Linked DNA regions of Sus scrofa. The protein of the gene in region 1 purifies or fractionates together with the protein of each later gene. This does not show direct contact. Links are inferred from orthologs where the notes say so. Each region holds a gene or a part of one and is shown in the gene's direction. Other genes may lie near its edges.

Region 1 (3,670 bases):
CCACAAAAACATATTTGCGCTCTCCCGTTGCATTTGGAGCCTGTTTAGACAAAACTCCTCAGAGACACAAATCCCAAAGGACATAGGTACGCCGAGCGCCAACACAGAACCCCCTTGCAGTCGAACCACTTGCTTTCCCCGGCTCCTACATCCACCACTGCCTGTCCCCCGTCCCCACACGCCCCTGAATTGAGGGCACGGCCGCCGGGGCTCCCGAGCCCCCAGGGTACACGGTGAGGGCGCCTGCTTCCCGTCTGGCGGCCAAAGGCTCCGGCGCAGCCGGCGAACGGACCCGCCCGGGCCCCAGCCCGCTCCGGGCCGCAGCTCAGGGAAGCGGGAGGTCAACCGGCAGGGGGCCCGATGGTCGGCGAACGTTACCTGCTGCAGGTACTGGTTGAGGGTGATGTGCGCCATGGCCGCGCCTGCAGTGCGGCGGAGCTGCGCGCCCGTCGCCGCCTGCTTGCGTCACTTCCGGGCCGCGGTCCGTCCCGGCCCCGCGCCCCCCGCCCTCCGCGCACCTTGGTTCCGGAGGCAGCCTGTGCGCGGGAACGCGAGCCCCGGGCCGGCATGGCGGCGCGCCCGGGCTGAGGCGGGCTGGGGGCTGCGCTGCGACTCCCCGAACCGCTCGCGAGGCCGCCTCGTCCGCGCCCCAGGTGCCCAGGCCCGCCGGCCGCTCGCCTGCTGCGAGGTTCCACACGGACCGCGGCGGAAGCGGACTGCGGCGCCCGCGAGCTCGGGGCCGGGTCGGGCCGGGTCAGGTCGGGTCGGGGTCCGGCGCGCTCCCGAGGCCTGAGGCGCGCGGTCGGCGTCGGGATCCGGCGGTTGGACCGGGCCGGGCCGGACCGGGGAGCGCAGCCGGGGGAGCGGACAGGCGGGCGCGGGCGGAGGCCCGGGCGGGGCGCTGCGGCCGCGGCCATGGCCGACGAGACCCCCAGGAAGGGCAGCTTCTCGGCGCTCGTCGGGCACACCAACGGCCTCACCAAGCCCGCGTCCCTCGCCGCCGCCGCCGTCACCTCCAAGCCCGGGGGCAGCGGCGGCTCCAAGAAGCTCGTGATCAAGAATTTCCGAGGTGGGTGCGGGGCCGCGGCGGGGCGGGCGGGGGTCGCTTTCCCTCCGCGGCTGTGTCGTCGGGACGGAGGGTTCGGCTGGAGTTAAGTTCGGCCAAGCAGCGCAGGTGTCGTGGTTGGCGAGGCCGAGCCAGAACGAGTGGCAGCCCCTGAAGCGCTGGGTGATGTCGCTTAATTTAATTACTTTCTCCGCTGTCACTGTCGTTATCTGGGAGCAAGCGTCTTCGTCCCACACAGACCTCCCTCCCGACGTTGAGTAATTTAACTCAACTTTAAATCTGGTCGGGGCTTAACTATTCCATGTTTGTTTATTTGTAACGTCTCCTTACTTAGAAGACTACATGTGTGTGTCCTAAGTATCAACACTGCAAGTATTTACCCAGCAAAAGAGAGACATTGTGGTCACATAGTCTCTAAGCCAAGGAAGGTGTAAACACAGTGCTTCCTTTGGGGAAGAGCTACTGCCCGTATTCGTCACCTAGGTGTCTTTGAGTCCTTTTTTGTAGAGTTTTTTTTTAAGGTGTGTGACTCTTGGCATGATGCCCTTCCCCACTCACTGTCTCTGGATTTACAGACAGACCGAAGTTGCCTGATAACTACACTCAGGACACCTGGCACAAGCTTCACGAGGCGGTGAAAGCCATACAGAGTAGTACCTCCATCAGATACAACCTGGAAGAGCTCTACCAGGTAAGACTCCACCTTTGCAAACAGCGGGGCTCCTTAGGATTCTCACCTAATTTCTTCAGGGAGAACGTCCAGGCCTGGGGGCCAGCATCTTGTTTTTCACTTACCGTTTTTTGCAGCTGTCCAAACCACACGGTTGTGCACTTCCACGAAATGTGACACGGGTGCGGATTCCGTGGGCCTCAGTATTGTCTCAGCGAAGGAAATACTAGAAATCCAAGTACAGGCCTCCGGCAGAAACAGTGGGAGTTCTGCGAGAGGACGTCCCCAGGGTCAAGGAGGATTTTCGGGTTTTGGCGCTTGTGGGATTTTTATTTTCTTTTCAGGCTTCAACTGTCTAGAAAGGCATTTAAAGTTAATTCATCACAGGAAAGCCATATGTTTCTGTGAGCCATGCGACTCTGTTTTCCAAATATGCAGCAAATGTTATTAAAATTCCAAGTTACGTTATATATAAAATTCTCATGACAGTTTCACTTGTAGATTTTCCCTGTCTTCATTGTACTTTGTGATTAATTATTGCGGTTAAAATGTGCAAACAGGTTTTGTTTCATTTGATTTAAATTAATGATGTTCTTGTTCTAACATAAGAAAAAATGGTCGAAAGTATGTTTCACGGTTGGATATTCCACTTACAAGCAGACTGGTTTTTCTTTTCTGGTATCTTAAAGACTAACAATTTGTCAGCTGGGCCTAATATCACCCACGTTTTAGGTAATGACAGTACAATTTCTATTAGGAGACTTGGATTTTAAGTTTTTTCTTTTTCTGTAAGTGATTACATTGTAAAATTATGGAAACTATAAAAAATACAAGGAAAACAATTGAAAACCAACAAAATTAGAAACCGTTGTTGTGCAGCGGAAGCAGATCTGACTAGGAACCATGAGGTTGTGGGTTCGACCCCTGGCCTCGCCCAGTGAGTTAAGGATCCGGCGTTGCTGTGAGCTGTGGTGTAGGTTGCAGATACAGCTTGGATCTGGTGTTGCTGTGGTTGTGGTGTAGACCGGCAGCTGCAGCTCTAATTTGACCCCTAGCCTGGAAACTCAAGTATGTCCCACGTGCAGCCCTAAAAAGCAAAAAAAAAAAAAAAAAAAAAAAAAATCACCTATTCTCCCACCACCCAAAGAAAACGTTGACAATTTGAGGGACATATGTCCCTTCTTTGTCACAAGTTTGTGTGAATTTATTGTATTTTTTTTAAACTCTTTGAATTTTATTGTATTTATAGTTGTATAACCATCCTTAGAGTTTTTGGTGTTTTAATCACCTTTAATAAGGTAGAAATATGTAGTTTGTTAAGTTTTAGCAGGTGTACCCCACAGTCTAACCAGCAGCACACTGGGGACCACAGTGGGTGTTTCCATCATCCAGAGTTCCCTGAGGCCCCCTTGAATTCAGCATCTCCCTCACCCCAGTCCCTGACCTCACCGCCCTCCCTCACCCCCGTCCCTGACCTCACCGCCCTCCCTCACCCCCGTCCCTGACCTCACCGCCCTCCCTCACCCCCGTCCCTGACCTCACCGCCCTCCCTCACCCCCGTCCCTGACCTCACCGCCCTCCCTCACCCCCGTCCCTGACCTCACCGCCCTCCCTCACCCCCGTCCCTGACCTCACCGCCCTCCCTCACCCCCGTCCCTGACCTCACCGCCCTCCCTCACCCCCGTCCCTGACCTCACCGCCCTCCCTCACCCCCGTCCCTGACCTCACCGCCCTCCCTCACCCCCGTCCCTGACCTCACCGCCCTCCCTCACCCCCGTCCCTGACCTCACCGCCCTCCCTCACCCCCGTCCCTGACCTCACCGCCCTCCCTCACCCCTGTCCCTGACCTCACTGCCCTCCCTCACCCCAGTCCCTGACCTCACTGATTTGCTTTCTACCCGGCCTGTTTTACCCTTTCCAGCTCTCATCGCAGG
Region 2 (3,696 bases), on another chromosome or scaffold:
AGCGGAGCGCAGCGCAGGGACCAGAACCCGCCACCTCTCCGGCCAGGCCCCTCCCCGGCTCCCCGGCCTTTTGGCGAGTTTGTCTTATTTTTAATTTCTCCGAGGCCAGCCAGAGCAGGTTTGCTGGCAGCCCGGCACCTCCAGCAGTCACGCGACCAGTCGAGCTCCCGGCCGCGCGCTCGGCGGCGGCGCGCTCGGGAGGCGGGGAGGCGCAGCGGCGGCTCAGGGGCCACCTTAAGGCCCAGCTCGCCAGTCTCGGCTGGGCGGCTCCCGGCGCCGCGACCAATGATCTCCTCCTCTGTTTAAATAGACTTGCGGTGTCAATCATCTTCTTCTTCGTCAGCCTCCCTTCCACCGCCATATTGGGCAACTAAAAAAAGGGGGCTCGTCTTTTCGGGGTGTTTTTCTCCCCCTCCCCTGTCCCCACTTTCTCGCCGCTCCGCGACTCCGACGCCGGCAAGGTTTGGAGAGCCGCTCGGTCGGCGGGACCCGCGGGCTCGCAGCGGCGGGGACTCGGACTGGCTCTGCCCCCTCCTCTCTCCGCTGCGCTCCTCTCCCCTCCCCTCCCCGCCCTCCAGCTCGCCCGTACACTTGATCGGCGGAGACTCGGGGCTGCCTGGCCCGGGCTGCCCCTCGCCCCCTCCCCCAGCCCCAGCGCGCTCCTGACGCTCGGGCGCTTACTCGTCGGTGTTTGTTTCTCTTGGCTCGGAGGGCAGCCGCAGGGCTTATAAGAGGGGCTCGGGCTGGGTCGAGGCGTTTTGTTTTGTTCGGTTTTGTTTTGCGAGAGCGCGAGAGAGGCGGTCGCCGAGCCCCGGGAGGAAGATGTCAAACGTGAGAGTGTCTAACGGGAGCCCGAGCCTGGAGCGGATGGACGCCAGACAGGCGGAGTACCCCAAGCCCTCGGCCTGCCGAAACCTCTTCGGCCCGGTCAATCACGAAGAGTTAACCCGGGACTTGGAGAAGCACTGCAGAGACATGGAAGAGGCCAGCCAGCGCAAGTGGAATTTTGATTTTCAGAATCACAAGCCCCTGGAGGGCAAATACGAGTGGCAGGAGGTGGAAAAGGGCAGCTTGCCCGAGTTCTACTACAGACCCCCGCGGCCACCCAAAGGCGCCTGCAAGGTGCCGGCGCAGGAGGGCCAGGGTGTCAGCGGGACCCGCCAGGCGGTGCCTTTAATTGGGTCTCAGGCCAACTCAGAGGACACACATTTGGTAGACCAAAAGACTGATGCACCGGACAGCCAGACGGGGTTAGCGGAGCAGTGCACTGGGATAAGGAAGCGACCTGCCACAGACGGTAATGACCCTTTCGAATGCATGAAACGTCTGTTTGTCTGCCTCTCTCTGTTTGTCTGCCGTGCTGTTTTCCCTGCTTGAGGATCTTAAACCTCCGCTTTCTTTTCAGCGCATTCTGACTTAGCTCTTGGGGAACACACCTTCCTCATCTTAGGTTTTAAATGCTATTTGGCTAGCTGCTGGTCTGTTTATGACTTTTAAGTCTGAAGCATGAGACTGTGCTATCTGATAATTTCTCTAACTGAAAACATCGCGGCTCCTCCCCGCTAGCCAGCTGTAGGTATGTGACAACGTTGGGATGTTTATCAACCACCTCCCTCTTCGCTTTGGAGAGAGAGAGATTTGGGGCGTAGAATACACTTTCTGTTATGTGAAAACAACCTCATTTTGTGCCCTTAAAGGCCACTGGGAATGACGGATCCAGGATGGTGGGTGGAGGTGGTGGGTTTTTTGTCCCCTCAGTATCGAGCCAACTTGTGTCAGCCATTGTTTTTTCTAATAAAGATTATTTGTGTGTGTTCTTTTTAAAATTCCCTCCTGCCTTTAGATTCCTCTCCTCAAAACAAAAGAGCCAACAGAACAGAAGAAAATGTTTCAGACGGTTCCCCGAACTCGGCTTCAGTGGAGCAGACGCCCAAGAAGCCCGGCCTCAGAAGGCGTCAAACGTAAACTGCTCGGTGGGTTGATCACTGGAAGCAAATAAGTGACACCCGATTTGGGCTGAAGGAACTCATGGGTTTTCAAACACCAAGATACCCGATCTTAGTGGTGTCTGGCAGATTAGAGCTTGTGGGGTTTTGTTTGTATTTTATGAGGTCCAAAAAAAGGAGGAATGGGAAAGACTGGGCATCAGGGTGGGGGTACTATAATTCTTCCCAGTTTCTCTGTCCTGAGATCATTTTCCTTTGAAGCTCCCAATGATTAGAGCAAGTGTCCCAGGCAAATACTTGCAACCAAGGCCCTGTGGGTAGGAAGGTCAGTTCCCTGAGAGTCCCATCAAAACGGTGTTGGGAACAATAGGTTCTTTTTCCATCTGAACAAGAGCGGGGGTCTGCCTCCATCCCACTTCAGGAGAATTCATCTCCCAGAGGACCAAGCTGACTCTAACAGATTTTGAGCCATACATGGAAAAAAATGGCAAATAAATGATCCAGTTAAAACTTTGAGGGAAAAGTTAGGTACAAATGGCTCATATCTGGTTAATCACATGGTTAGAAATGTGAATAGAGAGGAGTGTGGCTTTCTTTTATCTATCGTTTTCACAAAGTGTCACTTGCCCTGTTTTCTGATCAGTGTGGGGGATGGAGAAGGAACCTGTGTATTTAAAAAAAACCAAAATGGAAGGCTCAAAAACGCTAAGGTTCCTATGGAATTTCTGATAACACTGAAGTTACAAAGCAGAAGTTAAGTAACTCTGCCAGAGTAAGCAATCCAGGAACACGTCAGCATGTGTATGCTAATCGTGCTATAACAGGATAATTTGGATATTTGTAGGGGAAATGGATAGTAGATACCAGGGCTGCCACTGGTTAGGGCTACCCCGAACAAGGCAAGTGGACATTTTTCCACCTACTAAAATCTGATCAATGTAAAAAACTAATTTGCATAATTCAGCCCCCCAGCTTTACATGGATTGGTTTCCATAATGATCAAACTACATATATTAGTTAATAGTTTGTACACTCCTTACAGACAATGACCGTGACCTCTTTTTTTTCCCCTCCACAAACACCCTCATAGCTTAGCATTTAAAGAGATCCTAAGAGATGTTGACATTAACTTTCAAAATCCTCATTTATAAAAATTTTAAAATAAAGAACAGGGATGAAGGTAGGGTTCAAGTTTGTTGTGTTTTTACATCAGTGTCACAGGTAGGACTTTATTACATACGTCTGATATCTTTCAGAGCTTATACAACACGGCACTATCGAACCCTACGTTATAGCTGTATATGAAGTGAAAAAAATTTCTGAGTCAACCTTAACACCTGTGGCTCTTGTTGGTTGGTGACTCGTGGCCTAGCTCATCAGATGAGCCACAGCAAATCAGACCTACTGGATTTTGATCTGGCCGCATTCTGACATACAGAGAGGCATTTGTTAGTAAATATTGCCAGTTCAGCGAATACAGGAAATAGTAGTAAGGACCTCTTCTCAAGCATTCATGTGTGTATACTCTTCATACGACTGAGAAACTAGTTTTTTTTTTGGGGGGGGTGAATAGAATTTTCTTTGGTGAGCTTTTCTATTTCCAGTTATTTTTCAAATTTAGAAAATTTTGCTACTCTTAAGTGTTAACAGTTCCTTAATTTTCCTGTGTCTGTTCTTTCTCACTATTTTTGACCCCGATTCTCTAGACCAGGGTTTCTCAACCTCTGCACTGTTGCCATTTTGAGCCGAA
Region 3 (3,747 bases), on another chromosome or scaffold:
ATCTTTCTTGGCCAGAAATAGGCTGGGAGCCATTATCACATGTTGAAAATTCAAAATCTTGTTCCTCAAACTTTGTCGAATGATCTCAGAATCATTTTACCCTTAGTCCCTTTTCTTTTCTTTTTTTGGACGAATGAAAGTGTGTTGCTTTCATTCCCCCAAAATATCTCGAGTTCTACCAGCTATTTGCACACCTTCCTATTTAAGGTTTTTGGCAATTCTTTGAGCAACTTTTGCAGTGCTTTTCTTATCTCTATGTTCTATCTGAAGCATAACTAAACACAACCATTTCCACATGGAAAGTGTTGATTCTACAAAAATAATCAGTGAAACCGTCACTGTCTTGGAATCCTAAATAATTTTATCTTCGAGTATGGGTTTGGCAAGTCCATAGGGAGGACAGACACTCAAAGAGATGATTGAGGTATGCGTTTTCTGCCCTCCACAGTGTTTAAAATACCCCATGAATGCAGAATTCCCAGTCGACCCCAAATGATAGGAATTCAGCAAGACCCAGCTTAAGTACAAACAAAGTGTTACGTCTACCAATTGTGTGATTTCTGTGATTCCACATGAGTTAAATGCACTTATATTCGCCTTTAAAATTGGCTTCGTATAATATAAAGACAGATGGTAAGATGCATGCTAATAATTGAAATTTTTGCTTTTTCCCTTTCTTAGAATATTAAATAGCAAACTTTAGAATGCTATGAAAAGTTGAAACACTGCGGAATAAGGGAAAAGCTTTAGATTCTATAGCCTTTACGGGTAATTTCCCTTCTGCTTTTTGAACTAGTGATGTGCGTTTTCAATTTGCTTTGGGCTCACAAATCCTGCGGCTGACCCTGCAGCAGGGCGGCCTAGGCAAGGGCAGCAAACCAAAGTATAAATAAATAACGCACCATACAACGTTCGTTAGGACTGCGCAGAAAACTGAGGAGGCCAGGATGGCTGGAGCAAGTCGGAGGGATCTGGGGATTTGATCTGTGAGCGATGCCAAAGACTCTGGATTGTTAGGGATTTGAGCAGAAGAATAACAAGACGACTTAGGTTTCAAAAAGCATCATTTTGGCTGCGGTGGCTGTCCGGGAGTAGCCTGGAGGGAGGCGGAGTGAGGTCCGGAGAGGACCGAGCTCAGGCCCTGTCGGGTGGTCCACGCTGGCGCAGCCGCTCTCGGATGGGGGGCCTGCAGGAGGGGAGCCCCCAGGAAGGACCGCACCGCCTGCACCGAAGCGGGAGGGCTGCTGAAGGAGGAGGCGGGGGGAGGAACCGAAAGCTGGGTTTTGAACTTTAAAATTTCCGTGGCCTCAGAGTAAAGGCAGCGAAGAGTCCGCAGACCGGCCCCAGTCCCCGCCCTCCCTGGCTCCGAAAGCCGCGTCCCCAGACGCCAGGCGAGTCCTCCAGGACATAGAGTGCACGGGCCAGAGCGGCAGCGACCCCGCCAGGCCGCAGCGACGTCTAATGACGCGCCGGAACCGATGATGCGCCTGCGCACGGGAGCTCGGCGGCGACGGCGGCTTTTACGTCATCGCGGGCGCGACGCCCGGAGGGACAAGTCTGGGGTCCAGCTAGAAGGGGAGGTACGGCGGCGGGACCGGCCGGGAAGATGCCAGTGGCGGTGATGGCGGAAAGTGCCTTTAATTTCAAAAAGTTGCTGGATCAGTGCGAGAACCAGGAGCTGGAGGTAGCCATTCGCCTTTCGGGGTCGCGCGTGGCCTTGTGCGGCGCCGGTCTCCAGGGTAACGGGGCCCGAGGCCCAGGGCCCGCCGGGCTGGGGCGGGCGCGGGGCCGGGCGTGTGGAGCCCGGGACGCCGGGCCTGCTCCTGGCTGAGCATCCAGGCCTCGCCTCCCCGAACTTGCTGGGGGCTTTTTGTTGTTTTGTCTTCAGCCAGTGAGCCCGAAAATGCTGTGCGTCTTTGCTCCTAACACTCTCCAATATGCTTCTCGGGTTAAAGATGTTTCCTCCCCGTCGTGGGGAGAGGTGAGGGAGTCTGTGTGCGCGTTGTAGCCTGTTCCTAACTCGGAAAGTCCTTAGTCTCATGTCGCGGAAGCTTGCCGTCTTAGCTTCATTAGGACTGGTGAAATTATTTCACGAAGGTCTTAACAGTAAGGGTTTTTTTTTTTTTTTTAATTTTCTTAGAAAGGCACTTACAAGCATGTACAGTATCAGTATAAAAAGTTAATTAACCCAAAGAGACTACTGCCAGAAGCAGCAGCTCACTAATAGACACTTAACAGATGATTTTCTGAATAAAGTTGAACAAGGAGAGAAACGTCTTCGTCATTCAGCTGTGACATTTCTCTCTTCGTTACTCACTTACCTAGATTTTCAACATACCTGGTGTAACGGGCAGAATCATCATACTTGAGGAATCTGTGGGAAATACTCTTGTAACAGTAAGGCCATTTAAATAAGAATTTGAGAACTGGGAAAGGGATCCCACTGAAATGTTCCCGTGCATATATAAACTCAGTGGCCCAGAGGGAGATAATTCATAGCTGGTGACAGATCTAAACTTATCACTCTGGCTTTTAGTGTGTGACACTCTCTTTTTCTCCATCTGTAAGGGTAAGTACTATGAAATATGCTTACTTTTTAGATGCTTTGAAAAATACAAAAGTATACAAATAAATGAGCTTTTTCTCTTTTGTTTTTGGCTTTAAAGGCTCCAGGAGGAATTGCTACACCTCCAGTGTATGGTCAGCTTCTAGCTTTATATCTGCTCCATAATGACATGTAAGTACTTTCTACCTAAAGCTAAGAGAAACAGCTTCCTGAAGAAATTATTCTTGCGTTGAAGTAGCATCACTAAAACATAGACAGAAGGAGCTTTACATTTTATTGTAATAGTATATTTATTTCATATACTGAATCATGGCTTAAATCGTGATTAGGCTGAGTTAAAATGCACTTCTTTTCTTATATCTTTCTTAAAATTTTTCAATCTGTTACGATGAACTACAGTGTCAGTAAATTCCTTTAAATCTGTTAGTCTCTTCTCTTTTGTTTTGTTATGAAATGTCTGTCTTTTATGACCTGTTTACTTAATGTCACATGTGATCGATAGACTAAGAGAAACCGAAAGGGAAAATTGAGAGAGCTAAGAGGAATTTGTTACTGTCATGTATGCGATTTCTTGAAAGGTTTTGTTTTTAATTATTCCTCATTCACGTTCATTGAAGACAAGTCAGTATAACTGCGCAAAAAAGAGTCCTTATGTTCTGAAAGCCATGATTACTGTTCAGTTTTGTTTTAAAATTCTTGTAAACCTTCTTATTTGGCATCTTTTAAACTAAACTGAGATTTTTATTACTCATCTATTGTATAAATTATGTTTCTTGTTTTATAATCATGTCATTATATGTTTGTTATCGTTCAAGATTCCAAACTCTTAAAAAAAAAAAAAAAAAAAAGAAACCAAAAAATCCTGCCTTGAAGGTGTGGTGGCTCTGTAGCCACTGGTAGGAGGAAGGGTCATGAGATGGAGAAAAGCACTGTGTACCTGTATACTGTCAGGGAACAGCAGTGCCTTGAAAGTGTATGAATCTGTTTATTTTTATATATGACTAAATTATTTAGGTAGTCCTCTTTAAGTCTTTGTACTGTAACCTTAATTTAAGATCTGGATTATTAATTTAAAAATTCACTAAAAATGGCAAAATGTTACTTTGGTAAAATATTTCATGTCTTTTTATCTGGGAAACCGCTCTCATTTCACCTGGACAAAGTCATGTACAACTAAATTT

The links. Proteins that work in one complex are often made in the same cells at the same time.
Region 2: the proteins of CUL4A (region 1) and CDKN1B purify together in Homo sapiens (affinity purification with western blotting; 5 studies listed by BioGRID, with this or other methods). This does not show direct contact. The link is inferred for Sus scrofa from reciprocal best matches to the Homo sapiens genes CUL4A and CDKN1B.
Region 3: the proteins of CUL4A (region 1) and COPS8 purify together in Homo sapiens (affinity purification with mass spectrometry; 10 studies listed by BioGRID and IntAct, counting the BioPlex papers as one, with this or other methods). This does not show direct contact. The link is inferred for Sus scrofa from reciprocal best matches to the Homo sapiens genes CUL4A and COPS8.

The regions. Positions count from the first base shown.
Region 1 is NC_010453.5:78,556,297-78,559,966, forward strand, and holds the start of CUL4A (cullin-4A), read left to right. Parts: upstream 1-733; 5' UTR 734-915; coding exon 916-1,069; intron 1,070-1,641; coding exon 1,642-1,757; intron 1,758-3,670. Other genes in the region: PCID2 (PCI domain-containing protein 2), read right to left, coding at 379-414. UniProt on the Homo sapiens protein: Core component of multiple cullin-RING-based E3 ubiquitin-protein ligase complexes which mediate the ubiquitination of target proteins. As a scaffold protein may contribute to catalysis through positioning of the substrate and the ubiquitin-conjugating enzyme.
Region 2 is NC_010447.5:59,732,916-59,736,611, reverse strand, and holds the start of CDKN1B (cyclin-dependent kinase inhibitor 1B), read left to right. Parts: upstream 1-780; 5' UTR 781-822; coding exon 823-1,297; intron 1,298-1,843; coding exon 1,844-1,965; 3' UTR 1,966-1,973; intron 1,974-3,696. UniProt on the Homo sapiens protein: Important regulator of cell cycle progression. Inhibits the kinase activity of CDK2 bound to cyclin A, but has little inhibitory activity on CDK2 bound to SPDYA. Involved in G1 arrest. Potent inhibitor of cyclin E- and cyclin A-CDK2 complexes.
Region 3 is NC_010457.5:136,826,757-136,830,503, forward strand, and holds the start of COPS8 (COP9 signalosome complex subunit 8), read left to right. Parts: upstream 1-1,465; 5' UTR 1,466-1,606; coding exon 1,607-1,684; intron 1,685-2,666; coding exon 2,667-2,737; intron 2,738-3,747. UniProt on the Homo sapiens protein: Component of the COP9 signalosome complex (CSN), a complex involved in various cellular and developmental processes.